Sus scrofa: one gene and its partners. The protein of the gene in region 1 purifies or fractionates together with the protein of each later gene. This does not show direct contact. Links are inferred from orthologs where the notes say so. Each region holds a gene or a part of one and is shown in the gene's direction. Other genes may lie near its edges. The genes, in order: SMARCA2, DPF2, HDAC2, BCL7C, CEBPB, BCL7B and RBBP4.

Region 1 (3,838 bases):
GGCATATAATTATTTGTGAGAATGAGATCCAGGGAAACTCCAAAACCAGTTTCTATGGCTAACAGTAATAGTATCCCAAATGGATGAAGTCGGTTGTCTTTTATTTTCTCTTCTGCTTTAATCTCGAGGAGTACCTCCAGCTCTATTTTTTGATGATGTCCAGAAAGAGAATCTCTGGCCATTCTTTTCTAGAAAGTCTTAGTTTTTAAATACTGTTTACTTTACACTTTATTGCTGCTCCAAACCTGATTTTTAAAAATGCCTGATTTGCTTTTTCTTTTCTCAAGCAAGCACTGCTCACAGAGGAAGTGGTTGTGGTTGGCAGGGCTTTCTCTCTCTCTGAATGTTTTGGGTTGGCTGATTTCTGTGGCCTCAGCACCTAAAACTGCTCTTGTTCACTCAGCTTTAACGGCTGTCATCATCAGCATCTTGGCAAGGAGGGCAAATGGCCTCGTCGCCTTAGGACAGAACTAACTAGAAGTTAGAAGGAGCACTCTGTTGTCTCAGCTCTGTACTCTGGCTGGCCAAGCACTTGGGAACAAGTCAGATTTTCCTGTCTCTGATTTTCTCTCTCTCTTCAGAGGGAACCATGAGGCTTGACTTTGTTCTTATGTAGTCTGAGTCTTCCTGGCTGTTAGAGAGAGGTTGTGAAGAAGGCCAGAGTGTTAAGTCACATATAGCACCCATCTGTATTAATGCAAAGGTAGCTTTTCTCGGTTTAACCTCAGATAATCTGGTTGGGTGTCAGAAATCCGCCATCAGTATCTGGAAGATGTTTTGCCGTGAACTTCAACCTAAGGTTGTTGTCTATCACTTAGGACCAGATCGTAATGTCTATTCTCCCCCCCCCTTTTATTATCTCCTTTAGACTTCAGGCTCGCATAGCCCATAGGATACAGGAGCTGGAAAATCTTCCTGGCTCTTTGCCACCGGATTTACGAACCAAAGCAACTGTGGAACTGAAAGCACTTCGGTTACTCAATTTCCAACGTCAGGTAATAATATCTTTTCCCCAGCACGTCTAAGATGTAGGAAATAAATGTAATTGTTCCAGAGTGTAATCTGTGCATTTCCTTAAGTCAGCTCAGTATTGTTATAAAGATATAAACTTAGTAAAAGAGTATATCTTTTCGACCAGCAGCATAGAGCTAAAAGTAATGAAGATGAACTGCTTATTATTCTATTTTCCTCTTCTGTATATCAGAGACATTTTTTTTCCTCCCCTATTATGGTTTCCAAAGTCAGAGTTATGGCATTTTGTTAGTGGAGAACAAATGGGGTAGCTCATGTTTGCCTTTATGACTTCAAAGAAAAATAAGGCGATAGATCAGAGCTTCTTTGTAAACAGAAATGTAAAATCCTAGCCATGACTATGAAAATCATTTTAACAGATATGAAAACCACTCTGCTAAATTAATAGCTCATCATTTATAGAAATACATAAAACTATGGTTTATAACAGTTGACTAGTCATCACAAACTACTTTTGGAATATTTGATCAGATCAGACCCCCCATACTGAGTAATCAGTGAATTAATATGTTTTGTTTTTGCTATGGTCTTAGTAGTCACTGATTAATAAAGACTAGCATAGCAGTCTGTTTTATATTTTCTAAATCTGTAGGAGATTAGTGCAATGAAGTAGAGCTGATTTTTATTTTGATGAGTTTTGCCTTCTGGATCCAAAGGCTGTAGGTTTCCTGGTCCTCACACTGCCTCATTTAGTCAAAGGGTGACAGGAATGCTTCCTAACCAGTCAGATGGGCTTGTTGGGTGAAGGTTTTGGGTCATATAAGATGAATTGTCCACGACTAAAAGTAGTTTGAAAGTATGAATTATATGACTTGGTCTGTTGGAGGGTGTGACTAAAATCACAAGGCCACCCTGCCTGCTATTGTCATATGAGTTTGGAAATACATTTGCCTCACTGGTTATAAGATCATAAGAGGACATTGTAGTGACTGGTGGCTATTTGACCATAGGTTTGTGAGAGTAGATTAGAGCTTAAATCTTTTTTAAAAAGAAAAGAAAAAAGAGAAAAAACTTTCGTTTGCTTCTTTCTTAGAGGTAACTTCATAAAATGCATTGATAAAGTATTTAGTAAATTTTATTGAATGAGTATGAATCTGGAATATTTTCAGGAATCATGTTATATTCAAATTAGCTTCACTCTGCTGCATTCTTATTGGTTTCTGATTTTTGCTTCGTATTACTGAAAAATCTCTTATTTATGAAGTTTTCCAATGAAATGAACTATATTGATGCTGATTTCAGATTCAGTCGAATTATTTTAATGCATATTTCCAATCCCCCTCCTTCTATCACCACGTAATATATAATATGGATATTACATTCATGATAATCTAAAAGAAGTCCATGATATAATAAAAAAAATTAAGTATCTTGTGAAGAATATTGTTTGGAGTGGGAAGAAGCCACTGGTATTTCCCTTTTTTTTATGTGAGACAGTGAATTAATATTGTTTCAGTATCTGCAGCTCTTGCACATGAACAGGAAGTGATTCTATTCTTTTTTCACAACACCATGCATGTTAATCTTTAAACTCAAAGAGAATGTTAGCATGGCACTTAAGGTGAAGTAAAAGAGTACAAAAGGCTTATTAGCTCATTAATATCATTAGAATAATTAAATCAAATCAATTGATTTATTTACAAACCAAGACGACCTCTATACTTTTTTACACTGTTAACAGTTCTGTACTTGCTTCTTATCTGAATTATTTGTAAAGAAAACTTAGAGCATCTTTGAAAATACCACATATATCTGGCATGATGTAGTCCCTTCCTTAACCAAAAGAGCCAACTATGATGGAGAAACTTGGGGGAACTAAACTAAAGGGAAATAGGAGCAGGGCCAGGGACAGGGGCCCAGCCTCCTCCGTCTGGGGGAGGGGGTGTTCTCACTGTTCCTCTCTTGACAGCTGAGACAGGAGGTGGTGGCCTGCATGCGGCGGGACACAACCCTCGAGACGGCCCTCAACTCCAAGGCATACAAGCGGAGCAAGCGCCAGACCCTGCGGGAAGCCCGCATGACAGAAAAGCTGGAGAAGCAGCAGAAGATCGAGCAGGAGAGGAAGCGTCGGCAGAAGCACCAGGTGCGGGGGTGGGGGTGTGTGCAGGTCCGGGTGCCCTCATGGGACGGCTGCCCAAGCAGGCAACTGGGTGGAGTCAGAACCACTTGAGAAAGGGATGTGGGCAGTGGGGACATCACAGAAAGGATCATGGGAGCATCCGTGGTCCGACCACTCCATTTCCTAAAGTTGAGGAAGCTTAGGCCAAGCCAGAGGCCTGAGTGACTTGCCCCAGGTGACACCAGCAGTCACAGCAGGATAAGGTGGAGGACTGACCCTGCTTTCTGAATTTCAGTACGGTGCCTTATTTCTAACCCCATGGGAGGCTGCTGTCTGGGTGGGCATAGGCAGGTTTCCTAGAACAGAATCCTAGGGGAGAGGGAACTTGGAAGAGGAAAGAGGAGGGCAAACAGTTATTTTTGTAACAAATATAAATATAGTATACAGGGGCTTTCAAGGGCCCAGTTGGAGGTTTTCACAGGGGCAGATATTTTAAAACATCCCTTTCTAGGGATTTGGAAATATTTTGATGTAGGATTTGATTTCATGTCATAATCCTATCAATTCTGTTTGGGTTTTTTGAGCTTAATTTCTGCAATGCTTAGTTTTGTTTTGAAAAGTGTTGGACTTTCGTGTAAATACAGTTATGCGTTTCCTCTCCTTTATTTAAAAAGCAGACACAAATTATGTCTGGTGATTTTACCTTCCTATAAAACTTATTTTGAGTCACAATTCTGAAGTATTTAA
Region 2 (4,430 bases), on another chromosome or scaffold:
CCTGCGTTGCTGTGACTCTGGCGTAGGCTTGCGGCTACAGCTCCAATTAGACCCCTAGCCTGGGAACCTCCATATGCCGCGGGAGGGGCCCAAGAAATGGCAAAAAGACAAAAAAAATAAAAATAAAAATAAAATAAAATAGTTTGAGGAAATGCTATAGTTGACATAGGCAATATTTCAAAATTAATATGTGAGGATATAAATCATTTAAAAACATTTGAATTTGTCCCTCCAGATCCACTTCCCACCCTTCTCTCCCCTACCCTCTCCCCAGGAGGTGACCTAGGTAGAGGAACATCTATGGGTTCCCTTGGGCTTTGGTTTCCGGTTGGGTTCAGCCAATGGGAGCCCAGCAAGAGATCAGAGGATGGGGAGGAGGGGGAGAGTGAGGGATTTCTCAGTCTCACTTCCTGCAAGGGCACCTCAGCCAGGATATGCCCTCACTGGAGGTCACCAATCTCCCCTGATAGTTCCTTTTTCCCACTGGTGCCTCTTCCTGCATTTCTGTGGGCTTATGATGCAAACTTCTCTGCTACTACACACCCCCAGGCAACTGTCCCCCCCCAGGTGTCCCTCCAGACCCAGCTACACTCATTAACACCCCCTTTGTAATGAACCGTCTTCTTTGTGCACCTGTTTCCCACTGGGATCTGAATATATTTAAAAAGGAGTAAAGCTAAATAATAATGTTTAATATGTATATTTAATATTACATTTACATACAATGATTTTCTCTCTATTTCAAAAAGTTTAGGAGTTGCCGTAGCGGCGCAGCGGAAAAGAATCCGACTAGGAACCATGAGGTTGCGGGTTCCATCCCTGGCCTTGCTCAGTGGGTTAAGGATCTGGCGCTGTCCTGATCTGTGGTGTAGGTCACAGTCAAGGCTCGGATCCTGCATTGCTGTGGCTAGGGCTTACGCCAGCGGCTGCAGGTCTTGATTAGATCCCTAGCCTGGGAACCTCCATATGCCGCGGGTGCGGCCCCATGAGCTTTTTTAAAAGAGGATTTTAAGTCATGTTTGTAAACGAATTTGCATGATTCAGCAGTGAAGCAGAAATGAATGGTACACAAGAGAGAGGGATAGTCTTCGGCGCCTAAGTGGAGGGAATGAGCTTAGGAGCAGGAAGCAGGGGAGAAGAGTTGGGCGCCGATAAAGCTGAAGGCAGGAATGGGGGCAAATTTGTCACAGTCCAATATTCGGGCCAAAGAACGTCAGGTTCTGGGAGTTGCTTTTTCTTTCCCTAAAATGGGCACGTGTTTGGCAGCTCAAGAGGACTGTGCCCTACTACTATCACCAACCCCTGGCCAGCAAGTGAGGGCAAAGGGTTAACCACGAGGTTAAAGGTCTGCGAGGTAGCAGGACGCATAAGCTTCACCTACACCACCTCCGGGCCTGCCAGTTTTCACCAAGCCCTCACCTTCTCATTTCTGGACCATGTTACACGTTCCCTCCCTTCTCCCGCTCCCCTACACGTCAGAAGCGGAGGTAGAGCTGGAGCCTCGCGCCGCCCCGGCCTCGGTCTCCATTGCGCCTGCGCACTAGTTCCTCGGCTCCCCGGCCCCCAACAGGCAAGCTCGTTCTCGGCAGCTCGCTCTCGGGCGCGCTCCCGGGCGGCGCCTGCGCAGAAGGACGAGGAAACTGGTTCCCCGTGCGGTCCCGGCGCCTGCGCGCTGCGCTCTCCGGGCCTCCCGGCCTGAGGTAGAGGAGCCGGGAAGATGGCGGCTGTGGTGGAAAATGTAGTGAAGCTGTGAGTGGCCGTTTTCTTTTCCTCCTAGGCCGGGAGGTCTTGTAAGGGGCCTGGGAGTAGGGGGCGGTGCGGGAAGGGACGAGGCGGAGAGAGGGCCTTGCCTGGGAAGGCCATGTTGCGACTCCTAGTGGGGAGGACAACCCGAGACTCCGGAGGAGACGTTGCTCTTCTTTGGAAACTTGTGGAGGCCCTGAGGGGGGCACACGGGAGCCCCTAACGGGCAGCCTCCCGGAGGGGCTGTGCGGTCTGGGCGCTCCCTTCGGGCTGACGGTTTCCAGAGTATGGCGCCCTGGTCGCCTACGAAAGACAGTCCCGGATTCGCTCCCGAGACGCCTCAGTCCGGTGGAGCCGGGCCGAGGGCGGACCCGGGAGCGGCCGGAGCCCCCGCAACGCCCCGCCGCCGACCCCTCCCCATCGGCCGCCCGCAGCCGGCCCTGGGGGAGCAGGCTCCGCAGCCCTCGCGCCGTTAAGCCCCGCTGGGCTGTTTTGTTCTAAACAGCTCGGTGACGTTCCGGGGCGGGCGGGCGGGCGGGGGGGTGGGGTGGTCCTCGAGTGTCAGGTACCCAAGGCCAAGAATATTCCGGGGGAGAATTTGTTGCAGAGCTGGTACTGAGGGGAAAGAACTTCAGGGGAGAGGGCCTCTGTGCCGGCCAATCCCAGCCACCAAAAGCGGGCACTGGACCGATGCAGAGCCCCGGACGCCCCGGCTGCCCGGCTATGCAATACTCTTGGGCTGACAGATTTCGAGCGAAGTTAAAGTTCATGGTTGTTCGGTAAATGGAGAATCCCGTTAGCTGTGAGTTAAAGATGCTTGGAGACTTGATTTAACCCAGCCCCCTCCGTGAGGAAGAATCTGAATGAGTTTTGCAGCTCCGTGCCCCGTGGGCGAATAGAGCAAGCTCCTTTTTAATGCGTAAATTTGGCTTGGTGCAAGGGTAGGAAGATTGAGAGGTGTCTAGTTGTCCAGTTAGGGCTTTGGGATTTTGATTGGATGACAAGGTAAAGGTTTGGGAACTCTGTCTTGGTGGTGGGCTGAGCCCCCCAAGGGCCCCTTTTTAAGGGTGCGGTGCCGCTCTGCCTCTTCTTGCCTGGAGCCTTTTCTTTGCCAGTGCTTTCCCACTTCCATTAAGCTAAGTGCCTTCTCCTTCTGTTCTTGTGGGGGTTTTTTGTTGTTGTTGTTGTTGTTTTTAAACTTGCTTTCAGCTCCATCCTGCTGCCTCTTTCAACCACCCCTCCTCCCAGCACTATTATCTTTCTCTCTGATCTGCCCACTCCAGTTTCCCCAGCTCTCTCTTCAAGCTGACATTTCCCTCAATTTAGAAATGACGCTGTTGATCTACCATTTATATAGTTATCCTGCCTGACTCAGATGTTCTTTGTTTCCCTGCCTTTCTCTTTGTTGACTCCCCCTGTCCCATTGTAAGGGAAGGTTCTACACAGACTTCATGCTTCTTGAAAAAGAATCAAAGCTTCTACCTTGGAAACGTTACTGTACTGGGGGAATGTCAGACTTGCCTAGCTGTTAGCTGTGAGCTCAAGATTCGTTGAGACTTCATTTAAGAGTTATATGTAATGAGGAGTTCCCGTCTTGGTGCAGTGGAAACCAATCTGACTAGGAACCGTGAGGTGTCGGGTTCGATCCCTGGCCTCTCTCAGTGGGTTAAGGATCCAGCACTGCCGTGAGCTTGGTGTAGGTCACACACTCGGCTCAGATCCTGCATTGCTATGGCTGTGGCGTGGGCCGCAGCTGTAGCTCTGATTAGACCCCTAGCCTGAGAACCTCCATATGCCTCATGTGTGGCCCTAAAAAGACAAAAGACAAAAAAGAGAGAGAAAAAAACAAATTGTATGTAATGAGATTCTTTGTCTTTATGTTGGAAGACTTTCATCCTGTAAATAGGGCTACTAACCCTTTCATGTGATGTTGGGAGTGAAGGGTTGCCCGTTTAAACAGAGCATGACTTCTTATTTCTCTTTAAAGAGCTATAGAGATTGTGAGGGTCACCAGCCACTGATTCCTGAGTACTAGTAATGAGAAGCCAACTACAGTTGATGCAGTTTTAAACAACTTGCCCTTTAAAAAGAGACTTCCATTCTCCTCTTACCATGCCCATCCTGGAAAGAGGTGTCTTTCTGACGCTTCTCTGGATCATGGTGTGCCTAGTCTCTGACAGCTGAGGTTATGCAAGGAGGTCAGGACTACTAGCTCCATTTCTTCTGACTCGCATCTTTTTCTAGGAGAAGAATTTTCCTATTTGTAAATTCTCTGCCCCTCCCAAATGTGATGTCAGAATTCAAACAATCCTTTAAGGGATCTTACTAAGTCAAAATAATAGTATAAAGAGTTGCGGTTGCTGACTGGTTTTGAAACCTTCTGAGATCTGGAGAATGATGTTAATTTGAAATTTCTTAAGAGATCTCTCCCATTCTCTCTTGCTCTGTCTTCATCAGATCCTCTCTCCCTCCAACGTGTGTTTCATTCTCAGCTCTGTTACTCAGGAGACAGTTTGCCCCACCTTCTGAAATCCCGCTTAACTCATAAGAGCGCTGATAGGACATCCCTCATCCATCCCCCTCAAACTGTTTGCAGCCTCCTTGCTCTGAATTTGCAGCTCTCAGCCTGTCTGGCCCTTCCTTCCATTTGACTTGCAGCGTCAGTATCAATTCCCATCAGCAGAAAC
Region 3 (4,155 bases), about 140 Mb from region 1:
TTTTACCATCAATACCATGTAATTTTTACTTCTAAGCCAAGGTTTCTCACAAGGTGGTTCTTGTACCATTTGAGGTGCCTGCTAAAAATACAGACTTGGGTGGAGGGGGAGGGAGGTTACCCTCAACTTACTTTTTCTAAATTTTTGGGGGGCAAGGTCCAGGAAAATTGCTGCTGTAAGTATGTACTACTTGGGGATTTTGAAGTCAAATAGCAAAATAAAGAGGATCTTGGTAGTGATTCTGACTGGTTCCTACTTTAATATGGCCTTTTTTGCTGTTGTTTTGATGGGGATATAGGAGTGTGTTTTTGAGGAAAACTGTAAATGGTAGAGTGAGCTAAGAGTTCTCCTTTGCAGACTGTCAATCCCCTATAAAGTGGCTGGCTTAGAGTAGCTACTTGATAAATGTTGACTTGACACAGTGACAAAGGTATTCACAAATTCCAAGTTTTGAAAGTCCTTTCTCTGAGCTTTCTGCTCCAATCTTCCAGTGCCCAGCCAGCGGAAGCAGTAATAACGGAGTAGCTAGGGTATGTAGATTTTGGAGAAAGTCAAATCAAACCCTAGACCATTAACATCTGAGAAGACCAATTTCCTTAATATGCTCCATTTATAAAGAAGGACTAGAAATAATACTTACATCCCAGCGTTGTTGGGCGTCTCAAATGAGTTAACTGGTACCTATTACAAATGGGTATCAATGAAATCTATCATAAATGCAAATGCTTAGAACCCTGTCTAACTCATAAATGCATTCCATAAAATGCCCATTCAAACCTAGGCAGTACATTCCACTCCTTAATATCTGTAACAGGTCCCCTTAATAGATAAGAACCTCTGAGCAAAAATCAGCAAAAAATGAAAAAATAAATGAAATTCAAGCAGACTCGGTTGAGGGTCCGTGGACTGCTGCCTGGAGGATTCGGCAAGGCCAAAGGAGTGCGAGAGAGGGGTCTCCCTGCGGCGCTTGCAGCACGTGGTCCGCCCGGGCAGGAGCTTCGCGACAGTGGGGGAGGGGAGCGGCGTGGGACGTCGCGGAAGGGGTCTAAGCGCCCGGGCTACGGTTGAGGAGGCGCCGACTGCGCAGGCTCGGGATAGGCGCAACCACTGTACGAAGAGCCGAAGGGGGGAGCGTTTATCCGGCTCCACGCTTCCTTCACCCACTTACGGAGAGAAAGCCTGTCCTTAAAAAAAAATCATTTTACGACTGTATTTGGAGCGGCCCTCTGCAAGTTGCTCATCATTAGGAGGCCTCTTTACCCAGGACTGAAGAGGCCTCTTTCTCGGGTCGTGTCCCCTCTTCCCCCGTGGAGTCGCAGTGGATGCATCCCACCTCCCCTCGGCCTCCGGAGGTGGTTTGGCTGCCCCCTCCCCCTCCCCAGTGTCGCGAGTTGGCGCCGCTGCCACCCCCCGGTCCGCGCTCTCGGCCCCTCGGCCGGGCGGTACCGAGCCCTCCCGGCACCCCCTCCTCGCCTCCCTCTGGCCTGCCTTTCCCCGCAGGACTGCCAGTTCAACCTTCACCCCAGCCCTTTTCTTTCGGCGCCGAGCCGCGGCGGCAGCAGCAGCAGCAGCAGGAGTCCGAGCCCGGAGGCGGCGGCGGCGGCGGTGGCCGGGGAGCCCATGGCGTACAGTCAGGGAGGCGGCAAGAAGAAAGTCTGCTACTACTATGATGGTGAGAGGCTGGGCTGGCGGGAGGGTAGCGGGCAGGGCTGCGGCGCCGGGCCTCGAGCCGCACGGGGCTCTGCAGCAGCCGTCGCGAGTGGTCCCAGGTGCGAGGGTTCAGGTCAGAAGGAGGGACCGATGTTTGGCCGCATCCTAACCCATTCCCGACCCGGCGCCGTCCAGGAGTCTCGGCCAGGGGCTAAGTGGACGCCCCACTTTTCCCTCCTGGCCGTCTTCCTCCGGCAGTCCGGACTGCCGCCGGCCTACCAGGCTTCGTGCTGGTGTGAAGCAGACGGTTCTCCCGCGCGCCTCTCCCGCCCGCCACTCGTGGGAGCGGAGGTTTGGGGGTGCTCTGCACCGGCCCCTTGTACCCATCCCTCCCCCCGGGTCAAAACAGCTTCCCCGGCCCAGACTCCACACAAAGCCCGACGGCCGCGAGAGCTCCGCCCCTCCCGCCCCCATCCCTCCCCTCCCGCCCCCATCCCTCCTTACCTCTCCCTCCCCTCCGTCCCTGGCTGGCCGGAGAAAGGCTGTCCCCTCCTCCGCGCCGGCCTCTCCCCAGACCCCTCAACCAGGGTGGGTAGCGGAGAGTAGCTCCTGAAGGTGGGGGCCCACGTCCGCTTTGGGGTACACTCACACCGCTGTTTTGCCTGGGCTTCTTTCCTCTCCTTTGTTTGCCGCTTTCTTTGAGCGCCACTTTCTTAGCATTCAAATGAAAAAGCTTCACTTCCTCAATAAAAATGAGGGTTTTCGAGTTGGAGGTAGTCAGTCTTCTCGGGAAATTAAGACGGTGGTAGGGCAGCGTGGGGCTGCTGCTGCTGCTTGTGTTGCAGCTCAGACCCGATGGGTCCTGGCTTGCCTCTGTGAGGTGGTTACCACCCACTTCTTTGTTGCTCTTTGTTTGATCGGGAAATATACCCTGCTTTGGAGGTGTAGGGAAGCTAGCATTGGCATCTAGCTTGCGAAGGCTATTTCTAGGTGGTGGGAGTCGCGGTGCAGGAAAACTTTGAGGAGTAGTGCAGAAATTGGTATAAATAATGATAGTCTTGAGCTCATGGAACAGTGTGTAAAAGTCATATAATTTAAAGGGTTCTTCTCAATTGCAGTTTGAGCAGTAACATTAAATCTTTTTGAATCCGGATGCTATAAATTACACTAAACAGAGTAGTTAGCTGCTTTACAGATTGCACAAAGGCATTAACTTAAGTAGGTAAATAGTTCCTAGAAAGAAATTGTAAAATTTAACAAAGAAGCTAGATTCAATGACCTGAAAAGGTCTATCCAGTTTGAATGAAGCAATACAAATTTTGGATGCTTTTGCCACATTCAGTGTATTATAAATCACAAAGTTTTAAAGAGTGGTGGAAAGATCTTAGAGGACTAGGTCAGAATAAATCTGCCTTTAATTTTAAAATAGCTGTACCATATCTCAAGTTAGCAAGGATAAATTATTTTGATGCCTGTTTATATGAAATAACCACCTGTGTCATTGTGGAAAAATCTAAAATCTTGGAAAAGAAATTTAAATAGTTCAGTATTTGGTAGCCAATACTCAGTAGTAACAGCCATGTTTTAAAGACCTGTTTTTTGAGAAGTCCGCTTATATGTGTGATACAGATTGATCTGAAATTATGCCGTTATGGAGGGGTGGAGAGAGGGATATATTTTAATTTTAACGTGAATTATTATAAGGCTTCTTAAAGTTCTTTCTTTAAGAATTCATGCATATTTTGAGTCACTGGCCTTTCCTTGCATTGCCTGGCTAAATTGGAAAGTAAATAACAATATGTGTAAGTTAATTTTTAAAACAATATTGTTTCTGAGGTTTAGAGATTTGTTCTTGTCGGGTCTTGGGGTAAAGGACAAAGGTTTTAAAAGTTTGGAGTAACTAGTGCTAATGCTCTTCCTACAGCTGTTAGTTGCTGACAGTGATAGGCTCTGGAGAAGTAAGCTGCTTGAAACTTGTGGTCACCAGGCTTGAACTGCAGAACCAGGAGGTACACCTAAGCGTCAGTTTTATCAATAGCTGTATATTCCTGGGCCCATTTATGATGAGCCTTTGTTGAGGGAATGGGAGCAAGCTGTGGTCCCAAGGGCAGGATGCAGACTTGATAGAAAGAGTAGTCTTGTGATTGTGACCTAGTCAGTACTTTATGGTGGACCTTTATAAAGCTTTATTTGATGGCCAACAGCAGGTGTATAACTAACCGAATGTTTGGATATCTATCCCTGGTTAGGTTATCTGTCTTTTGTCTCTGGCTCTTCCTTGCCTCATTTTTAGAATGGAATTTGTAGTTGCTTATATTTGGAATTTGCTTTGGGTTCTTTTTGGGGAGGTGGGGGTAATAACATGTTTTGTAGAGGTTATTAAATTGAATAGGTATCATTATGCTAATTCTTTGTATATGATAGTATATTACGCTGTGTGTAGTTAATTCCAAAAGCTTGCATTCTCATCACCACAAAAACCCTATTATGTTTATAAAAGTAGTG
Region 4 (4,487 bases), on another chromosome or scaffold:
CCATTCTTAGTCTCTGGCCCCCTGAGGAGCTCAATCTGATAGTGAGACCACAGACAAAAGCAGGTAATGTGAACTGGGAAGGAGGCCCCTGTGTCTTTAAGTATTTCACCATGAGCAGACAACTGCCAGAATAAAGGAAGAAAGGGAACAACTGGCAGAGGGCACAGCATGTGGCACCATCACGCGCATATTAACAGTGACTCTTGTTGGGTATTTACTATGCGCAAGATGCTGTTCTAAGAGTTACATGTATATTAACTCATTCCCATGTTACAGCTGAGAAAATAGTGATAAGTGACTTGTTTGAGGTCACTGGACAAGCAGAGCTGGGATTTTACCCCAGCGATTTGGCCCAGAAATGATGTCATAACCACCTCTGAACATAGTCACACCAAAACACACAGACCCGAGAGCCACACCCTTGACACATTCACACACAGCAACACAAATTTAGAATGTCATACCTGCTGGCAAACACAGCCTCAAACAAAATCAACCAAGACACATGTATTTTAAGTAAGCTTTTCATTGACGTGCTATAGACACAGGGTAAAGTACACACATCCTATATGTACAGCTCCGCGAATTTTCCAAGAGTAAATATGCCGTGGGAACCAGCACCAGATTAAGAAACGGAATCTGACCAGTTCCCAGAGGCCCCTCTTAGCCCCTCCCAGTCCCCAGGGTGACCACTCTCCCCGGTGTTTCGCACCATTTATTGGTTTTGTCCAGAACTTTCTCTGAATGGGATCACAGGGCGTATTGCTTCTCTGACCTCTTTCACGAGACGTCCCCATGTTGTGTGTAGCAGGACATCACTCTCCTTGCCCTGTCGTCCATGGTGTGAACAGGCTACAATTTATTTTCCATGGCCCTGTGGATGGGTTGTTTCTAGCCTGAGGCGCTTAGGAACAGAGCTATGGACATTCCAGTACAGGTCCCTTGGGGCTCCTACCCACGCATTTCTGATGGGTGTTAACCATCCAGGAGCGGAACTGCTGGGTCACAGGGTTGGTGTACGTTCGGTTTCACTAGAAAAGCGCCAGCTTTCCAAAGTGTCTCTATCAATTTACACTCCCCCAGAAATATGAGAGGTCCAGTTGCTCTACTTCGCCTCCACTTGGCAAGGTCTCATCTGAGCCATTCTGGAGGGTGGAAGAGGCACTCAGTACATTTACAGTGTCTGGCACGTAACTGGCCCTCAGTTAATAGCCTGTAGAATGAATGGATGAAGAGATAGTTGCAGCGTAGAACCAGGCAGCCGAGCAAGGGACACACACACACGCAAACACACACACACAAACACACACACCGTTCCAGGGTCCACCCACGCGCAGCGGTCGCACCCGGGACACAGATCCTCTCGCGCCCCCTGGCGCCCACGTGGTCTGAACGCACGGCCGCAGCCCCGCCGCGCGCGTCCAGTCGCCGAGCTGCCCCAACCTCCCTCTCGGCCGCGGGCAGGGGGCGCTGCGCGTCCGGGCGCCTCGAGGCGGAGGCGGCGGGCCCGGTCGGGGCGGGGCCGGCCGGCTTCCAGGCCTGGGCTCTGGCCGCCCGCGCCGCCGGGCGGCTCCGGGGACGGGCCGGGGCGGGGCGCGGCGGCAGGAAGCGGGGCGGGGACTCGCGGAGGCGTTGGGGAGCGAGGGAGGGCGCGGCCAACTCCCGGAGGGGCGACAGGCCGAGAGAGCGGCGCCCCGGCCTGGCGCCGAGCCTGAGCCCGCCGGACGGGAGGCGGCCCAGCCGCGGGCTCGGCCTCGGCCCCAGCCCCGCCAGCATGGCCGGCCGGACCGTGCGGGCCGAGACCCGGAGCCGGGCCAAGGATGACATCAAGAAGGTGATGGCGACCATCGAGAAGGTCCGGAGATGGTGAGCGCTGCCCCGGGGGCCAGGGACGGGCCACGGCGGGCCATTCCTCCCCCGACACGTCCACACCCCCTCCGCCACCTGTGGCCCCCAGGTGTTAGGTGTGCCCCTCTCCCCCGCCGCCCCCAGCTGCGTCCTGGATCTGCAGGGCTCTATCTCTCTTCTCCTGGCTACACCCTGGGGTCTACAAAGCGTGTTCCCCAGCCCTGCCCTCCCAGAGCTGGAACCCCCCCTTTATGCCCCGCCCCCTAAAGCTTTGACACTCCTCCCGCAAGTGTGCCCCGGGATCTTCGAGGCTGTGGTCCCAGGCCTATAGTCGCGCTCTCCATGTATACCCCAGGGGTCTGCCGCGTCGTGACCCCAGCCTATTTTTTTTTCTCTCCCTCTCTCTCTTTCTCCCGCCCCCCACCTATGCCCTGAGGTCTGCCGGGCTTCTCCCTCCAAGTCCCATTAGCCACGCTGCCGCTTCTTTTGCGCACCACCCCCACCTCCACACGTATCCCCAGATACATCCAGCTCCTGGGCTGGCTCTCTCCTCAGGCCTCTCTGACCCCGTCCCTCCACCGTCCCACAGGGAGAAGCGCTGGGTGACTGTGGGTGACACTTCCCTGCGTATCTTCAAGTGGGTGCCAGTGGTGGACCCCCAGGAAGAGGTGAGCAAGCTCCCCCACACCAGGCCCTGCATCTGGGCCACCTCGGGCAAGCCCCTCCCGGCGGCTGGCCTCCACCTCCAGTCCCCACTTAGACCTTACATGCAGCCTCGGGAACAGATGTTAACAATTATTAGCAACTCCGCCTCTTTCCCCTCCCCCGCCACCAGACCCCCTGAGTTCACGGCCTAACGCCGCCGCCGCCGCCGCCGTGGCGCACAACCTGTCGCTCACGGAGGGCCTTCTGCTTCTCTGTGCCTCAATGTCGTTATTTGTTCAGTGGGGGCTTTGCAAGCACTAACTAGAAAGCTGACTGTAACCCTTCGTCCTCTAACCCCCAGGAGCGTCGGAGGGCAGGTGGCGGCGCAGAGCGATCCCGAGGCCGCGAGCGGAGGGGCAGGGGCGCCAGTCCCCGAGGGGGGGGCCCTCTCATCCTGCTCGATCTCAACGGTATGTCGGGGATGCTGGCTGGGCTTTGGGGCAGCGGTGGGGAATGAAGGAGGGGATTGGGCGCCTCAGACCCAACCCTTTCTGCTCTTGCTCCCACAGATGAGAACAGTAACCAGAGCTTCCATTCAGAAGGCTCCCTGCAAAAGGGCACGGAGCCCAGCCCTGGGGGCACCCCCCAGCCCAGCCGCCCTGTGTCACCTGCTGGACCACCGGAAGGGGTCCCTGAGGATGCTCAGCCCCCACAGCTGGGCCAGGAGAGAGGTAGGACCAGGTGCCTCCCAGGAACCTTCTCCTCTGTGTCTTGTCCTCTCCAAGGTTGCAGCCCCCCACTTGTCCTCTGTCTGGTCCCCCTCCTGTGTCGAGTCTTCTGGAGACCATCCCTGAGTCCTGTGGAAAGTGACTGCCTTTCCTCTAGGGCCTTTGGCCTTCCTCTGGCTTCTTTGGGTCTGTAGATAACTTATCACAGATTTTCATGTAAATTTAGCTTTTGAGTAGTTAAATATCTTTCTTCCCCATTCCCACCTCCTGTCCGCTTCCTGAAGGTTGGGCCCATCTTGATCCTGTTCTCGGCTGTATCCTCGGAACACTGCGGACCACCTAGCAGGTGCTCAAGAAATATTTGTTGAGGAATAGGTAATAATCAAAAGACTGATTAACAGTCGGTGATAGTTACAGCTAATACTTACTGAGCTCTTTCTGCGTGCCCGACACCCCGCTAAGCTCTTTCCATGTTTTATCTCATTTCATCCCCACTGCAGCCCTATGAGGGCTACGATCTCCATTGAGAGATGATATACCCGAAACCCAGAGAAGCTGCCCAAGTTCACCCAGCCAGCGAGCCAGGATCTTGGGCCTGAGTCTTCATCAGCTCCTCTTTCTTCCCGTAAAGTCAGTCCCCTGTCTGATCAGATCCATCTCTCAATGTGTCTGTCTGCCTTCCTCTGCCTGCCCAGGCCCTGTCGTCTCTCTAACCCACACCCGGCTCCGGCCTCCTCATGGGTCTGTTCCCCTCCAGCTGCACCCACACAGCTACCAGAGCATGCGTTTGATGGGGTCATTTTCCAGCTTCAGAACCTTCGATGGCTCCCTCTGACCTTTGACCCCTCAGCTTGGCACTCTGGGCCCTTCCCGAACCGTCCCCTGCTGACCTCACTGTTCCTTTCCAAGAACACCAGGACTTAGGCCTCCGTTCTGTGTCTGGATCGTAGCACACGCTCGTGTACCTTTACTGATATAAAAAACCATAATTGGCATTTCTCGAGCACTCACCGCATTAAAACCGTGTTAACGGTTTTGCCTGTGTTACCTCCTTTGATTCATACACCATCTGATGTGGTAATTACTATAATTATCCCCACTTGACAGATGGGAAAACAGGGTTAGAGAAATTAAGTCACTTGCTCGAGGTCAAGATTCGAACTCAGGGAGTTCCCTTGTGGCGCAGCAGGTCGAGAATCCAGTGTTGTCATTGCAGCAGCTTGGGTCGCTGTGGCATGGGTTCGATCCCTGAGTGGGAGCGAACTT
Region 5 (3,170 bases), on another chromosome or scaffold:
TCAGAAACAGGTGTTTTGGCCTTCTGGTGGCAAATAGGTCTGAGAGTGTAGGGACCAGGGCTTTTCTTTGAGAATAGTGGGGGACATGAGGCCATCTGACCTGGGGTGTGCTATGCCCCCTCTGGGCCTCTTTACACCCTGGGAGAGGCCCTTCTCTCTGCTGTGCATCTTAGAGCAGAAAGCCTTATGTTTGGGAGTCTGTGGTGGAGACAATAATACAACTAATAATAAGTTTTGAGACCTTCAAGGATTGAAGGTTAGCTAAGTGACCTGCGCAAGGTGACACAGTAATGTCAGAGCTTAGCACCTACACCCCCTTCTACACTTTGGGTGCCCAAGTGGGAGTGGGGTGGGGCTGGAGAATACCCGGGTGTGGTCTGAGGGGGCGGGCGGCTGTGCTGGGCAGGGCTAGGAGAGGGGCAAGGTCGGGCCCCTGGCAGATGCTCCAGTGGAGCTTGCTCCAGACTTGCACTCCCAAAGCCCCCAACCACAAGTCTTCGCATTTAGGAGAGAAGTCCCTATAGGCGTGAAATCCTCTCCTTCCAAAAGTTGGGGACGAGGGCAAGTTTAGGGGCGGGGCCGGGCCCTGGAAGGGCTTTGGAGATGGGCTACCTCTCCAATAGCCAGAGCAGGGGTTTGGGGTCTCCAGGATCCCGCCTGGGGCGCGTCCCCTCCTTAAGGAGTTGGGGCTGAGAGCCGCTGATCTTGAAGCCACGGCCTCCTCCAGCAGGGGGCGGGCCGCGGCCGCGTTTAGGGTGGGGGAAGGCGATGGCGTCGCCCCCTCCCCGGATTCCCCCCTCCCTTCTAGTACAGCCTCCAGCCCAGAGGGGGCGGTCCGGGGGCGGGTTCGCGCCTCTTCTCGCTTCCAATCCTGAGTCCGAAGGGTGGGGGTGGGCAGGGGGCGTGTGGCGGCCCCCGAAGCCGGAGGACCCCCCAAGGGCGCGCTCCAGATCTTCAGTCAGGTCACGGTGCCCCACCGCCGCCCTGCCGGGGGTCTCGGGCGGCCACAGCGTGTCCTCTGCGTGCCCGGGGAGGGGTTGGGGCGGCCGCCAGGCGTGACGCAGCCGTTGCCATGGCCCGCCTTATAAATAACCGGGCTCTGGAGAAACTTTAGCGAGTCAGAGCCGCGCACGGGACCGGGAAGGGGACCCACCCGAGGGTCCAGCTACCAGCCCCCGCACTAATAGCGGCCAATCCAGCGGAAAAAGCAACAGCAGCAGCAGCGACACAGCAGCGACAGTTCGGAGCCAGGAGGCCGCGCCACCTGCGGGCCGGCCGGAGCGGGCAGCCCCAGGCCCCCTCCCCGGGCACCCGCGTTCATGCAACGCCTGGTGGCCTGGGACCCAGCATGTCTCCCCCTGCCGCCGCCGCCTGCCTTTAAATCCATGGAAGTGGCCAACTTCTACTACGAGGCGGACTGCTTGGCTGCTGCGTACGGCGGCAAGGCGGCCCCCGCGGCGCCCCCCGCGGCCAGACCCGGGCCGCGCCCCCCCGCCGGCGAGCTGGGTAGCATCGGTGACCACGAGCGCGCCATCGACTTCAGCCCATACCTGGAGCCGCTGGGCGCGCCGCAGGCCCCGGCGCCGGCCACGGCCACCGACACCTTCGAGGCGGCTCCGCCCGCGCCCGCCCCCGCGCCCGCCTCCTCCGGGCAGCACCACGACTTCCTCTCCGATCTCTTCTCCGACGACTACGGGGGCAAGAACTGCAAGAAGGCGGCCGAATACGGCTACGTGAGCCTGGGGCGTCTGGGGGCCGCCAAGAACGCGCTGCACCCGGGCTGCTTCGCGCCCCTACACCCGCCGCCCCCGCCGCCGCCGCCGCAGCCGGCCGAGCTCAAGGCGGAGCCGGGCTTCGAGCCCGCGGACTGCAAGCGGAAGGAGGAGGCCGGAGCGCCGGGCGGCGGCGCCGCAGGCATGGCGGCTGGCTTCCCGTATGCGCTGCGCGCCTACCTCGGCTACCAGGCGGTGCCGAGCGGCAGCAGCGGGAGCCTGTCCACATCCTCGTCGTCCAGCCCGCCCGGCACGCCGAGCCCCGCCGACGCCAAGGCGCCCCCAGCCGCCTGCTACGCGGGGGCGGCGCCGGCGCCCTCGCAGGTCAAGAGTAAGACCAAGAAGACCGTGGATAAGCACAGCGACGAGTACAAGATCCGGCGTGAGCGCAACAACATCGCGGTGCGCAAGAGCCGCGACAAGGCCAAGATGCGCAACCTGGAGACGCAGCATAAGGTCCTGGAGCTCACGGCCGAGAACGAGCGGCTCCAGAAGAAGGTGGAGCAGCTGTCGCGCGAGCTCAGCACCCTGCGGAACTTGTTCAAGCAGCTGCCCGAGCCCCTGCTCGCCTCCTCCGGCCACTGCTAGCGCGGCCCCCGCGCGCGTCCCCCTGCCGGCCCGCCGGCCTCCGCGCTGCCGGGCGCGCCGCGGCCACAGTGACTCCGGGAAGCGCCCGCGCTCCCGCCCCCGCCCCCAGTGGCGCCGGCAAAACTTTGGCACTGGGGCACTTGGCAGCGCGGGGAGCTCGTCGGTAATTTTAATATTTTATTATATATATCTATATTTTTGTCCAAACCAACCGCACATGCAGATGAGGCGCCCGCCCGTGGTGTTATTTAAAGAAGAAATGTCTATGTGTACAGATGAATGATAAACTCTGCCTCTCCTCCTGCCCCCTCTCCAGGCGCCGGCGGGCGGGCCGGTTTCGAAGTTGATGCAATCGGTTTAAACATGGCTGAACGCGTGTGTACACGGGACTGACGCAACCCACGTGTAACTGTCAGCCGGGCCCTGAGTAATCGCTTAAAGATGTTCCTACGGGGTTGTTTCTGTTGCTGTTGTTTTTGTTTTTGTTGTTGTTTTTTTGGTCTTTTTTTGTATTATAAAAAATAATCTATTTCTATGAGAAAAGAGGCATCTGTATATTTGGGAATCTTTTCCGTTCGAGCATTAAGAACACTTTTAATAAACTTTTTTTTTTTTGAGAATGGTTAAAAAGCCTTTTGGGGGCAGTAGTTGATTTTTGATTTTTTTCCTTTTATTTTGGATTTATGATTTTATATTTGCTTTTCTGGTATGCAGGGGGGAGGTTGTTGTGTGTATGAGTTGCTCTTATTTTTGGCTTTTTAGGTGGTTGGGTGGGGGTGTTGCAGCTGCTTTTTCTCCTCTGATTCTCCC
Region 6 (4,607 bases), on another chromosome or scaffold:
GCTCATAGGGAGATATAACTGCCCAGGGCTGTGTGCCTAGACCAGGGTGCCCTATTAACAGAACTGGAGAGAGCTGGCCTCTTTCACGACACTTACCACCTTCTCTGTCTTATGTTTTATTTTCCTATTGCATTCCTTATCCTCACCTTTTTTTTTTTGACCACACCCATGGCTGTGGAACTTCCTGGGCCAGGGACTGAACTCGTGCCGCAGCAGTGACACAGGCCACTGCAGTGACAATGCTGGATCCTTAACCTGCTGCGCTACAAGAGAACTCCAGGGAGTCCTACTCATTTCTGCATCACCCACGGTGTCCACAGCAGAAGGGCATGTAGCAGGTGCTCTGGTAGTTCTTGGGTTGCTATTTTGGATCAATGGCTTTGAGAAACAGATGCACCTTTGATCCCATTATTTCTAGAATCATCCTTCCCTCCATATGCTGGTTCAGCTCTTCCACTCTTCAGCCAGGCAGACACTATTCCTGGGCCTCTCACCAGCAAGACAACATATGCTTGTCAAGCCATGATGTTGGTGGATTATGAAAGGCTAAATAGTCATAGAGACTCTGTCAAGTTCGGGGTTGGCTTGACATTTCCCTGGAGGTAAAAGAAGTAGACGCTATCTAGTAATGTAGACTGTCACCTGCTTCCTTTCTATTTCCTGAAGCAGCTGCTATAGGACCCTCCCCGCATACCACAAGCGCTAGTAAATGCCTTGAGTTGTGTGTGGGGGCAGAGCAAGGGAGCTGCGCTGAAGGTTAAACATTCACTCAAACATTTACTTAGCATTATAGTGTCTGTGGTCACAGGCCCTAGAGCAATTGGACCTACAGTGTTTTCAGAGCTCAACTACAAGGTCATTTGTTCCCAGATGCCCCTGGATACTCCTTATCCAGATTAGGGTTGTCATAGCACTTGCATGACTTGAGCCTAGCATTTATAAATACCTGTTTTTCTGGCCTGCCTGTTCTACTAAACTGTAAGCTCTGGAAGCAAACCCCCAGATTTTGTCCTCAGCACTTAGCACAGAGCCTTGCACAATGCAGGCATCATTTAATCAACAATTGCTGAATTAAACGTGACAGTGATGCAGAGTGCCAAGTATGGACAAATCGGAAACCCAGAATACAAGGGGAAGGCTTCTCTAAGCTCCAACTGGATGTTGGAAGAGTAAATGGTCTTCAGATGAAGAGATGAGCGAATTCCAGGTGGGGAACAGATGTGTGCTAAGGTTGGAAGGCATACTGAAGGTGTGAAATTCTCTGGCTGGAGCGCAGCCGGAGCTAGGGCCCCAAAGAGGAAAGGCAGCAGGACACGGTGGTATAGAATCTCGGTACCGTAGGGAGTCAAGTCCATAAAATACAGGTTATATCGGCAGCCCTGGCCAGAGGATGAAGGTGTTGATCTCCAAATCCCCCGGGAAAGATCCAGGGACGCCGGTTGCAGCGCCTCGCACCTCACCCTGCACACAGCACGTGCAGTCAGCTCACTGCATACCTGGGCCTGCGTGGGGGCCCAGTGGACTCCTTGGGTGCCTTGGGACGGACACCCAAGGTAGGACAACGAGGGAGTGGTGCACTGGGTGGGTCTCCCGGGGTGGGGCACCCGGGGCGGGGCGCGCAGGCGCGTTGATGCCCCGAGCCTCAAGAGGAGGGCGGGCGCGCGCTTCCTCGCGCACGCGCGCACGGTGGGGGCGACGGCCGCGGTGACGCTGCTGCGCCGGGCGGGTGGCGGCGCGTGAGGCGCGATTCCCCGTGTCTTGGGAGCAGTGTCCCGGCCCCCGCCGCTCCCGCCGCCGCCATGTCGGGCCGGTCAGTGCGGGCCGAGACCCGCAGCCGGGCCAAGGACGACATCAAGAAAGTGATGGCGGCCATCGAGAAAGTGCGGAAATGGTGAGGGGCGGAAGCGGAGGGTGCTGGCGGGGGTCGCTTGCCCAGGCCCAGAGCCTCGGCGAACTGCCTGGCGGGGTAGGAGCAGACCGGCAGCGCTTGGGGGGAGGGGGGAGCGGAGGAGGCGGGTGGAGGGTGCCGCTGGCGTCGCCGTGAGGTCAGAGGGCGCGCCGGCCGCGGCCAATCAGCAGGTCGCCCGGCCTGCGGGCCCGCCCACCTGCCCTCGGGTAGCTCGGCGCCCGCGGGAGCTGCCGTCTTCCGGCGTTGCTCGCTTTGCGGGTTCTGGCTTTCACGCCGGTCTTCGTGTGGGCTTCGTCCCCGGGGCCGTCAGCGTTAGGAGCCTTTTGCGTTCTGAACTGTCCCATATAGTAACTAACAGTCTGAGAATTTCACGTTGGCCAGACAGCGCTGTACGTATTAAGTCGTCTAAGTTAGGTGAGAGCTGCTGGGTAAACAACTGCCATGCGACCAAGTGGTCGTCGGAATCAAAAGCCGGCTCTTTTCCCTAATACCGGCCCACACGCTGCGACCTGGGGGGGCATTTTCTCTCGGTTCTTGTAACGTTCTTCTCGGGTGCTGGTTGACCGCCTATGTTGTATGAGGAACTCCAGTGCGTTATCAGCTTAATTTTTCACAGCCAACTATTTGCTCTAGCTTCATAAGTACTTTTCTCTAGCTGATTACTGCTAATAACTTTAAAGCCCCGGTAAGGTGTTAGCTCCCTCCAGGAAGCCTCCTTTAGGGTCATTATTATCTTGAATGTTTATTTGTCCATTTCTCTACACAGGACCAAGTTCCTTATCTCTAAGGGCTTCATATATAGTTGGACTCAATACTAGTTAAATAATAAACGATCCCCCCCCCCACATCTAATCCTTTTTGATGAAACCTAAGAATGGGCATACCTTTCTCTTCCGGCCATCTCTGCCCCCACCTGGAGCTTAGGGCAGATGACCATCTTCTCTCACCCCGAACTCGGTACCAGCCTCCGGATGATCTCCCTGCTTCGGGGCTGGCTCACTCCCCAGTCCATTATCACATAGCATTTTTCTCAAGTGTGAATCTTCCTGCACTCCCCTACTTAGGAGATAATGCTTCATTGATCTCTTCTTGCTCTTAGAATAAAGATCAGAGGTGATCATTCTTGCCTCATCAGCCTGGCTCAAATTGCCCTCTTTTCTAGGATGCTGGCCATCTTTCAATTGGGGCCGTACTGCTTTTCCTGCTGCCTAGTGTCCTTCTTAACCCTCTCCTTCCCCTTGCCTGGTTAACTCCTAGCTAAGCTCTGCAGTTTCTTCCTCAAAGACAACTTTCAAGATGCCCTATCTAAATCAGGTCCCTTACATAGAACTTTCCATAATTGTATTAGGTTGATGAATAAGATGTCTCCTATATATGCCTTTTTAACCTACAGCAGTGGTAGTTTGATATGGTTAAATCTAATGATTAGGTTTCTAACTGAGCTGAGTTGTGTGATGTCTGTTTTCAGTTGGAATGTGGGCCCTGTGGGAGTCAGGACTGTGTATCTTATTCCTTGTGTGTCTAAGACCTAGCATAGGCTTCTTGCATATTAAATATTTGTTGGATAAATGAGGAAATGGAGTGGCTTGTCCAGGAATTAATTCCAGTTTCCTAGGTCTTTAGTTCATTCTTTCCGTTACATCTCAATCTCTACATTTTTGTGATGTCATCGTTTACTCAATAGCAGCAGCTATAGCAACAGTAACAGCAGTTACTTTTTTTTTTTTTTTGCTTTTTTTGTCCTTAAATTTGGACTTGAAATTTTCTTTTTCTTTTTCTTTTTTTTTTGCTTTGTCTTTTTAGGGCCGCACCCACAGCATATGGAAATTCCCAGGCTAGGGGTGGATTTGGAGCTACAAGCGTTGGCTTACACCACAGCTACAGCAATGCAGGATCTGAGCTGTGTCTGCGACCTACACCACAGCTCACAGCAACGCTGGATACCTGACCCACTGAGAGAGGCCGAGGATCGAACCCACATCCTTATGGATACTAGTTGGATTAGTTTCCACTGTGTCACAACAGGAACTCCCTGTAAAATAAAATCTTAAAGTAGTATTTCCATGTCTTGGCCTTCATCTCTTCCAGACACCAGTGTAAGCTCATTCTGTTAGCTGAAAGCGTCTTGTCCTGCTCCTGTGATTATTTTTCAATGGAATCGTGTTTCAATCCAGAGTTCCACAGGAGTCATAGGAGTTCTACCTTCCATGGGATGTGTCCTGGTCTTACTCTTGAAGCCTTCTTCCTTGTCACCTTCATGTGTTACAGTGGTTTGTTATCTTTTCATTCCTATTAGTTCCCTAGGTAGGGACCCTATCTTCCATATCCTTTATCTCCTGCAGGGCCTTTGTAAATATGAGTGAAATTGAACTAACTGGAGAGAAAGGAGTTAGATGAAATGTGTATTTGAGTTTGAAAGCGTGCTGACACTCTATACTGCTGTCATCTGTGAGGAAAGAGGTTTTTTTTTTTTTTTTTTTTTTTTTTTGTCTTTTTGCCTTTTCTTGAGCCCCTCCCGCAGCATATGGAGGTTCCCAGGCTAGGAGTTGAATCAGAGCTGTAGCCGCCGGCCTACGCCAGAGCCACAGCAACGCGGGATCCAAGCCACATCTGTAACCTACACCACAGGTCACGGCAGCGCCGGATCCTTAACCCACTGAGCGAGGCCAGGGATCAAACCCGCAAGCTCATGGTTCCT
Region 7 (4,592 bases), on another chromosome or scaffold:
TTGTAAAAGAATAAAAACATAAATGTCCATCAATTAGAAAGTGGTTAACTAAACTAAATGTCCATCTCTACATGTACATATAAGAAAATGTTAAGAATGGCTGATCTGGAGACAAAGACTAGGTGGCTAGAAATCTGGGCTGGAAGTTCCCAGGCCAGAGATTGACTCTGCAACCTCATGGTTCCTAGTCGGATTGGTTTCCACACTGCACTGGGCTGGGGATCCAACCTGCACGTCCAGAGCAACCTGAGTCACTTCAGTCAGATTCTTAACCCACTGTACCACAGTGGGAACTCCCTGTACTTTTTGAATTTGGCATCATGTATAGAACTTATTAAAAGTAATTTTTAAAAATTGCTAAGTGAGAGAAAAATGAGCGTAGGGAGACATACAGGGTCCAGAAAGAACTAAGCCTAGTAAGCTATGGTAAATAGTTGGATTCTATACTGAAGACAAGGGGAATTTAATGAAATATTTTAAGCAGGGATATTAGAGTCAGATTAGTCCTTCCCAGACCACAGCCACCTTTAGGGATGATAGCTTAAGGTTTATATAGAACTTCAGAGTCTGCACTACACTTTCACATTTATTTTTATCTCAATTATCCCTCACATGAAGGAACTGAATGCAAAGAAAGGTTATGTGATTTGCCTAAAGTCACTTAACTAAATATGGCAAAACCAGGTCTTTTTACTAACACGATACAGGTAAAACACCAAGTTAGAAGTTCCCTACTGAGAGCTTTCAGTCCCCTAACCTAGCCACACTCTTAGGAGACGACAACTCCGCAAACGCTTGAAAACACGGTTGTGTTTAGAATTAATACACCAATAAAATTCCCACAAAGTAAGCGTGAATAGGCACACGTAGAAAAAGTTCAAAAGACTAAATGTGGAAGCCCAGATTTCCGATTCAGACCGGGTGGCTTTTCCCTTCAGCATCCGCGGGACAAGCACAGAAGAGACAAACAGGGCTAAAAGGGAACGTGCCGGAAGTACCGTAGGGGACAAAGTGGAAGGCGAGGCCAGAAGCCCCAGGTAATGAGAGAAGTGAGACACCTACTCACACTCGTACTTCCGATTGACTGGAGGATACTTGGCCTTGATCGCCTTCTGCTCCTCAGTCAAATTGTAATCTCTAAAATCTTCCCCTTCCAGCGCCATGATTGTGCTTTTGGACCCAAACTCAGCTTCCGCCCTTCTTCAGCTGGACTTCGGCCCTGACTTATAACTTCCGCTCTAGACTCCGCCCCTTGGCACACCCTTAAAGGACCAGGGCTCCATTCCCTGGGAGGTACTTAATCCTTCTAGACTTCCGTTCTGTGTCCCAGGGTTTGGAGCACATCATTAAAAGTCGAAGGACCCACTTTCTGCTCTTGCTTAATAGTTCTTCCTACGACTAAGGAAACAAATAATTTGGAGGACGTGGAATAAGGGACACGAATTAGACACCTTTCGATCTGAATGATAGAGGCCTTTTCTTGCCGCCTAGCCCCACAATAGATAACTAGACCCGGAAGCATCCTACATTTTCCCATCTAAAGTACTACTTTGAAGGGGTCGCTAGCTTAACACCCTTCACGAAAATGGCTGCCCCCAAAAGCGTGCGGACTAAACCTCTCACGTGACCCCGGGCGGGTGCACTTCTACTACTCCCGCGCGCGCGAGCGCGCGCGCGTGATCGGAGGAAGTCGGCTTGGGGCCGTGTGGGGGCAGGGGCAGAGCGCGCGCCTGGGCCTGGAGGCAAGCTGCTCCGCGCGTCTGGATAGGCTGCGATCGCGGCTTCCCCGCCCACACCGACGTTCGGCGCACTCCGATTGGCCGATGTTGGCGCGAAGGTGCGCGAGTCGGCCCTCACGCAGGGGCAGCAGGAAACAATAGAGGCCGCGCGCGCAGAAGGAGCGCTCGCAGCCTCCCCGCCCCTCTCGCAACGCTCTGCCCCAGGATCCCCCCGGCTTGCCTGTACGCCATGGCGGACAAGGAAGGTGAGGGTGCCGGGGCCGCCCCAGGAGGGCGGGAGGAGTCAGGCTTGCGCCGCGGCCTCAACGCGGCCTAACGGTGGGGGCAGGCCAGACTCTGCCTAGGGCCGTCCCCGCCATCGCAGGCGTGAGGAAAAATCGCCCCGCGGGGCGGGCTCATGGCGCGCCAGCCCCTCTGGAGCGGAGGCCCGGCGCAGCGGTGTGAGGCTGGCCGTGGTGGCCTCGGGGGGGGTGTTTGGTCCCTCCCGCGCTCCCCGTCGGTCTACCTGCCTCTCTCCGGGTCCTCCCGGCCGCTCTCCCTACCCGCAGGGGTCGGTGCTCGGTCTCACCGTCGGTTCTGTGCGCTCGACGGCGGGCGCCGTCGCCCGAAGGGCTAACGGAGTGTCTGGTCGGGATTACCCGAGCAGTTCCCGCCCGGCGAAGCTGGAGAGCGGTGGTGGTGCCTGCGCCTCCGGGAGATCTAGACTAATCTCCATTTCAGAATCAGGATTCAGGAGCCGTGACGGTAGCTTTGGAAGTGTTTACTCGGTTTCCGTTTGTGGTCGCTAACTTAATTTGTTCTTAATTTTTTAGCAGCCTTTGATGACGCAGTAGAAGAACGTGTGATCAACGAAGAGTACAAAATATGGAAAAAGAACACCCCTTTTCTTTACGATTTGGTGATGACCCATGCTCTGGAGTGGCCCAGCCTAACTGCACAGTGGCTTCCAGATGTAACCAGGTGATAGGAATCTCTCGAATGCTGTTTTGTTGTGTCCTCAGTGTAGATTTCTCACATTGATTTTCCCTGTTTTCCTCTCTCCAGTCACCCGTAGAGGACACGTGATCAAAGCCTATTGGTGACATTTTTTTCCTAGGCCAGAAAGTAAGGCAAAATGTAAAATTATTTTGCAGTTTAGCATATAAGAGAGAACATACTGATGTTTTCTTTTTATTTACTTGTTTTTATTGAGGTACTGATTTACAATGTTGTGTAAATTTCTGCTGTACGGCAAAGTGATTCAGTTATGTTTTTAAAGTACAGCTGATTTTCCATGCTTCTTCGGTTTCTGTTGTATAGCAAAGTGACCCAATCACAGTTTCCTGTGTACACTTTTTTTTGGATATATATTCTTTTCCATTATGGTTTTCCTAGGACACTGAATATAATTTTCTTTGTTATACAGTAGGATCTTGTTTATTACCACTTTCGTGTAGACTAGCTTATTACATCTGCTAACCCCCACCTCCTGCTCCCTCTCCCAACCCCCTTGGCAACCACAAATTTATTTCCTATATCTGAGTCTGTTTCTGTTTTGTAGATAGGTTTGTCATATTTTAGACTCTCCAATATAAATGATATTTGTCTTTCTCTTTCTGATTTCACTTAGTATGATCATCTAATTGCATCCAGGTTGCTGCAAATGGCATTATTTCTTCCTTTTTACGGCTGAGTAGTATTCCATTGTATATATGTACCACATCTTTATTCATCTGTCAGATTGTTCCCATGTCTTGGCTATTGTGAATAATGCTGCTGTGAACATAGCGGTACATGTATCATTTTGAATTATAGTTTTGTCTGGATATATACTGGGGAGTAGGATTGCTGGGTCATATGGTAACTCTATCCTTAGTTTTCTGAGGCATTTACATACTGTTTTCCATAATAGCTGCACCAGTTTGCTTTCCCACCAGCAGTGTGGGAGATGTTTCCTTTTCCTAACACTGAATTGAATAGTGGGATTATAGCTGTAGTTGACCAAATGGTAATGTAAAACTTGTCAGCTTTCAGAAACTATCAGGATGAGTTCAGTTTTTAACATCAAAATGTTTGAATCTCGGCAGTCAGTGGTATTTTCTAGTTAGTTAATGCAAAGGTAAATGTGACATGGTACCTGCTTTCAAGTCTAGTGAATAGGCAGGTATAATTATGAAAGTGGCAAAGATAAAATGATCAGAGAAAGGAAAATTATCTCAACTTGGAATATCAGGAAAGGCTTTCAGTGGGAAGTGACAGTGTGAAAAGGAAGGTGACTTTAAGTAGTATAAAGCTTTAACAAACTGAGCGTGCCTGGGGGAATAATGGATTTTTTATTACAAAACTGTTGGTGTTCAGAGTAACAGCTGAAAGTTATATGTATGCTAAATAACTAGGTTCCTTCAGAACTCAGGTCTTTTGAGTCAAGATATTTGTAAAATGTGGTTGTTGGCCTATGTTTCAGCTCAACAAGTAATAGAAATTTTATAGAAATTTCATTGCCAACTTAATGAGCATGCTACTTTCGTAGTAGCTTTTTAAAAATGGGGAAATCTGGAGTTCCCGTTGTGGCTCAGCAGTAACGAACCCAACCAGTATCCATGAGGATGTGGATTCAGTCCCTGCCCCTGGCAGTGGATTAAAGGATCCAGTGTTGCCGTGAGCTGTGGTGTAGGTCGCAAATGTGGCTCAGATTCAGAGCGTGGCTGTGGCTGGCAGCTGTAGCTCTGATTCAGCCCCTAGCCTGGGAACTTGATGTGCTACAGGTGTGACCCTAAGCGAGCAAAAAAAGTGGGGGAGGGGGGAGTCCTGTCCTACATATGTTAATAAGTACTTAGGAATTTAGAGTTGGAAGCTGCTTTATCATGACCAGTA

The links.
Region 2: the proteins of SMARCA2 (region 1) and DPF2 purify together in Homo sapiens (affinity purification with mass spectrometry; 6 studies listed by BioGRID and IntAct, counting the BioPlex papers as one, with this or other methods). This does not show direct contact. The link is inferred for Sus scrofa from reciprocal best matches to the Homo sapiens genes SMARCA2 and DPF2.
Region 3: the proteins of SMARCA2 (region 1) and HDAC2 purify together in Homo sapiens (affinity purification with western blotting; 4 studies listed by BioGRID, with this or other methods). This does not show direct contact. The link is inferred for Sus scrofa from reciprocal best matches to the Homo sapiens genes SMARCA2 and HDAC2.
Region 4: the proteins of SMARCA2 (region 1) and BCL7C purify together in Homo sapiens (affinity purification with mass spectrometry; 4 studies listed by BioGRID and IntAct, counting the BioPlex papers as one, with this or other methods). This does not show direct contact. The link is inferred for Sus scrofa from reciprocal best matches to the Homo sapiens genes SMARCA2 and BCL7C.
Region 5: the proteins of SMARCA2 (region 1) and CEBPB purify together in Homo sapiens (affinity purification with western blotting; 5 studies listed by BioGRID and IntAct, with this or other methods). This does not show direct contact. The link is inferred for Sus scrofa from reciprocal best matches to the Homo sapiens genes SMARCA2 and CEBPB.
Region 6: the proteins of SMARCA2 (region 1) and BCL7B purify together in Homo sapiens (affinity purification with mass spectrometry; 3 studies listed by BioGRID, with this or other methods). This does not show direct contact. The link is inferred for Sus scrofa from reciprocal best matches to the Homo sapiens genes SMARCA2 and BCL7B.
Region 7: the proteins of SMARCA2 (region 1) and RBBP4 purify together in Homo sapiens (affinity purification with western blotting; 3 studies listed by BioGRID, with this or other methods). This does not show direct contact. The link is inferred for Sus scrofa from reciprocal best matches to the Homo sapiens genes SMARCA2 and RBBP4.

The regions. Positions count from the first base shown.
Region 1 is NC_010443.5:219,773,878-219,777,715, reverse strand, and holds part of SMARCA2 (probable global transcription activator SNF2L2), read left to right. Parts: intron 1-868; coding exon 869-995; intron 996-2,941; coding exon 2,942-3,115; intron 3,116-3,838. UniProt on the Homo sapiens protein: ATPase involved in transcriptional activation and repression of select genes by chromatin remodeling (alteration of DNA-nucleosome topology).
Region 2 is NC_010444.4:6,883,661-6,888,090, reverse strand, and holds the start of DPF2 (zinc finger protein ubi-d4), read left to right. Parts: upstream 1-1,592; 5' UTR 1,593-1,717; coding exon 1,718-1,749; intron 1,750-4,430. UniProt on the Homo sapiens protein: Plays an active role in transcriptional regulation by binding modified histones H3 and H4. Is a negative regulator of myeloid differentiation of hematopoietic progenitor cells. Might also have a role in the development and maturation of lymphoid cells.
Region 3 is NC_010443.5:79,898,798-79,902,952, reverse strand, and holds the start of HDAC2 (histone deacetylase 2), read left to right. Parts: upstream 1-1,355; 5' UTR 1,356-1,620; coding exon 1,621-1,672; intron 1,673-4,155. UniProt on the Homo sapiens protein: Histone deacetylase that catalyzes the deacetylation of lysine residues on the N-terminal part of the core histones (H2A, H2B, H3 and H4).
Region 4 is NC_010445.4:17,545,962-17,550,448, forward strand, and holds the start of BCL7C (B-cell CLL/lymphoma 7 protein family member C), read left to right. Parts: upstream 1-1,584; 5' UTR 1,585-1,774; coding exon 1,775-1,866; intron 1,867-2,437; coding exon 2,438-2,516; intron 2,517-2,854; coding exon 2,855-2,963; intron 2,964-3,062; coding exon 3,063-3,224; intron 3,225-4,487. UniProt on the Homo sapiens protein: May play an anti-apoptotic role.
Region 5 is NC_010459.5:51,721,314-51,724,483, forward strand, and holds CEBPB (CCAAT/enhancer-binding protein beta), read left to right. Parts: upstream 1-1,319; coding exon 1,320-2,360; downstream 2,361-3,170. UniProt on the Homo sapiens protein: Important transcription factor regulating the expression of genes involved in immune and inflammatory responses. Also plays a significant role in adipogenesis, as well as in the gluconeogenic pathway, liver regeneration, and hematopoiesis.
Region 6 is NC_010445.4:10,866,337-10,870,943, reverse strand, and holds the start of BCL7B (B-cell CLL/lymphoma 7 protein family member B), read left to right. Parts: upstream 1-1,629; 5' UTR 1,630-1,799; coding exon 1,800-1,891; intron 1,892-4,607. UniProt on the Homo sapiens protein: Positive regulator of apoptosis. Plays a role in the Wnt signaling pathway, negatively regulating the expression of Wnt signaling components CTNNB1 and HMGA1.
Region 7 is NC_010448.4:88,985,409-88,990,000, forward strand, and holds the start of RBBP4 (histone-binding protein RBBP4), read left to right. Parts: upstream 1-1,683; 5' UTR 1,684-1,968; coding exon 1,969-1,984; intron 1,985-2,551; coding exon 2,552-2,699; intron 2,700-4,592. Other genes in the region: ZBTB8OS (protein archease), read right to left, coding at 1,067-1,163. UniProt on the Homo sapiens protein: Core histone-binding subunit that may target chromatin assembly factors, chromatin remodeling factors and histone deacetylases to their histone substrates in a manner that is regulated by nucleosomal DNA.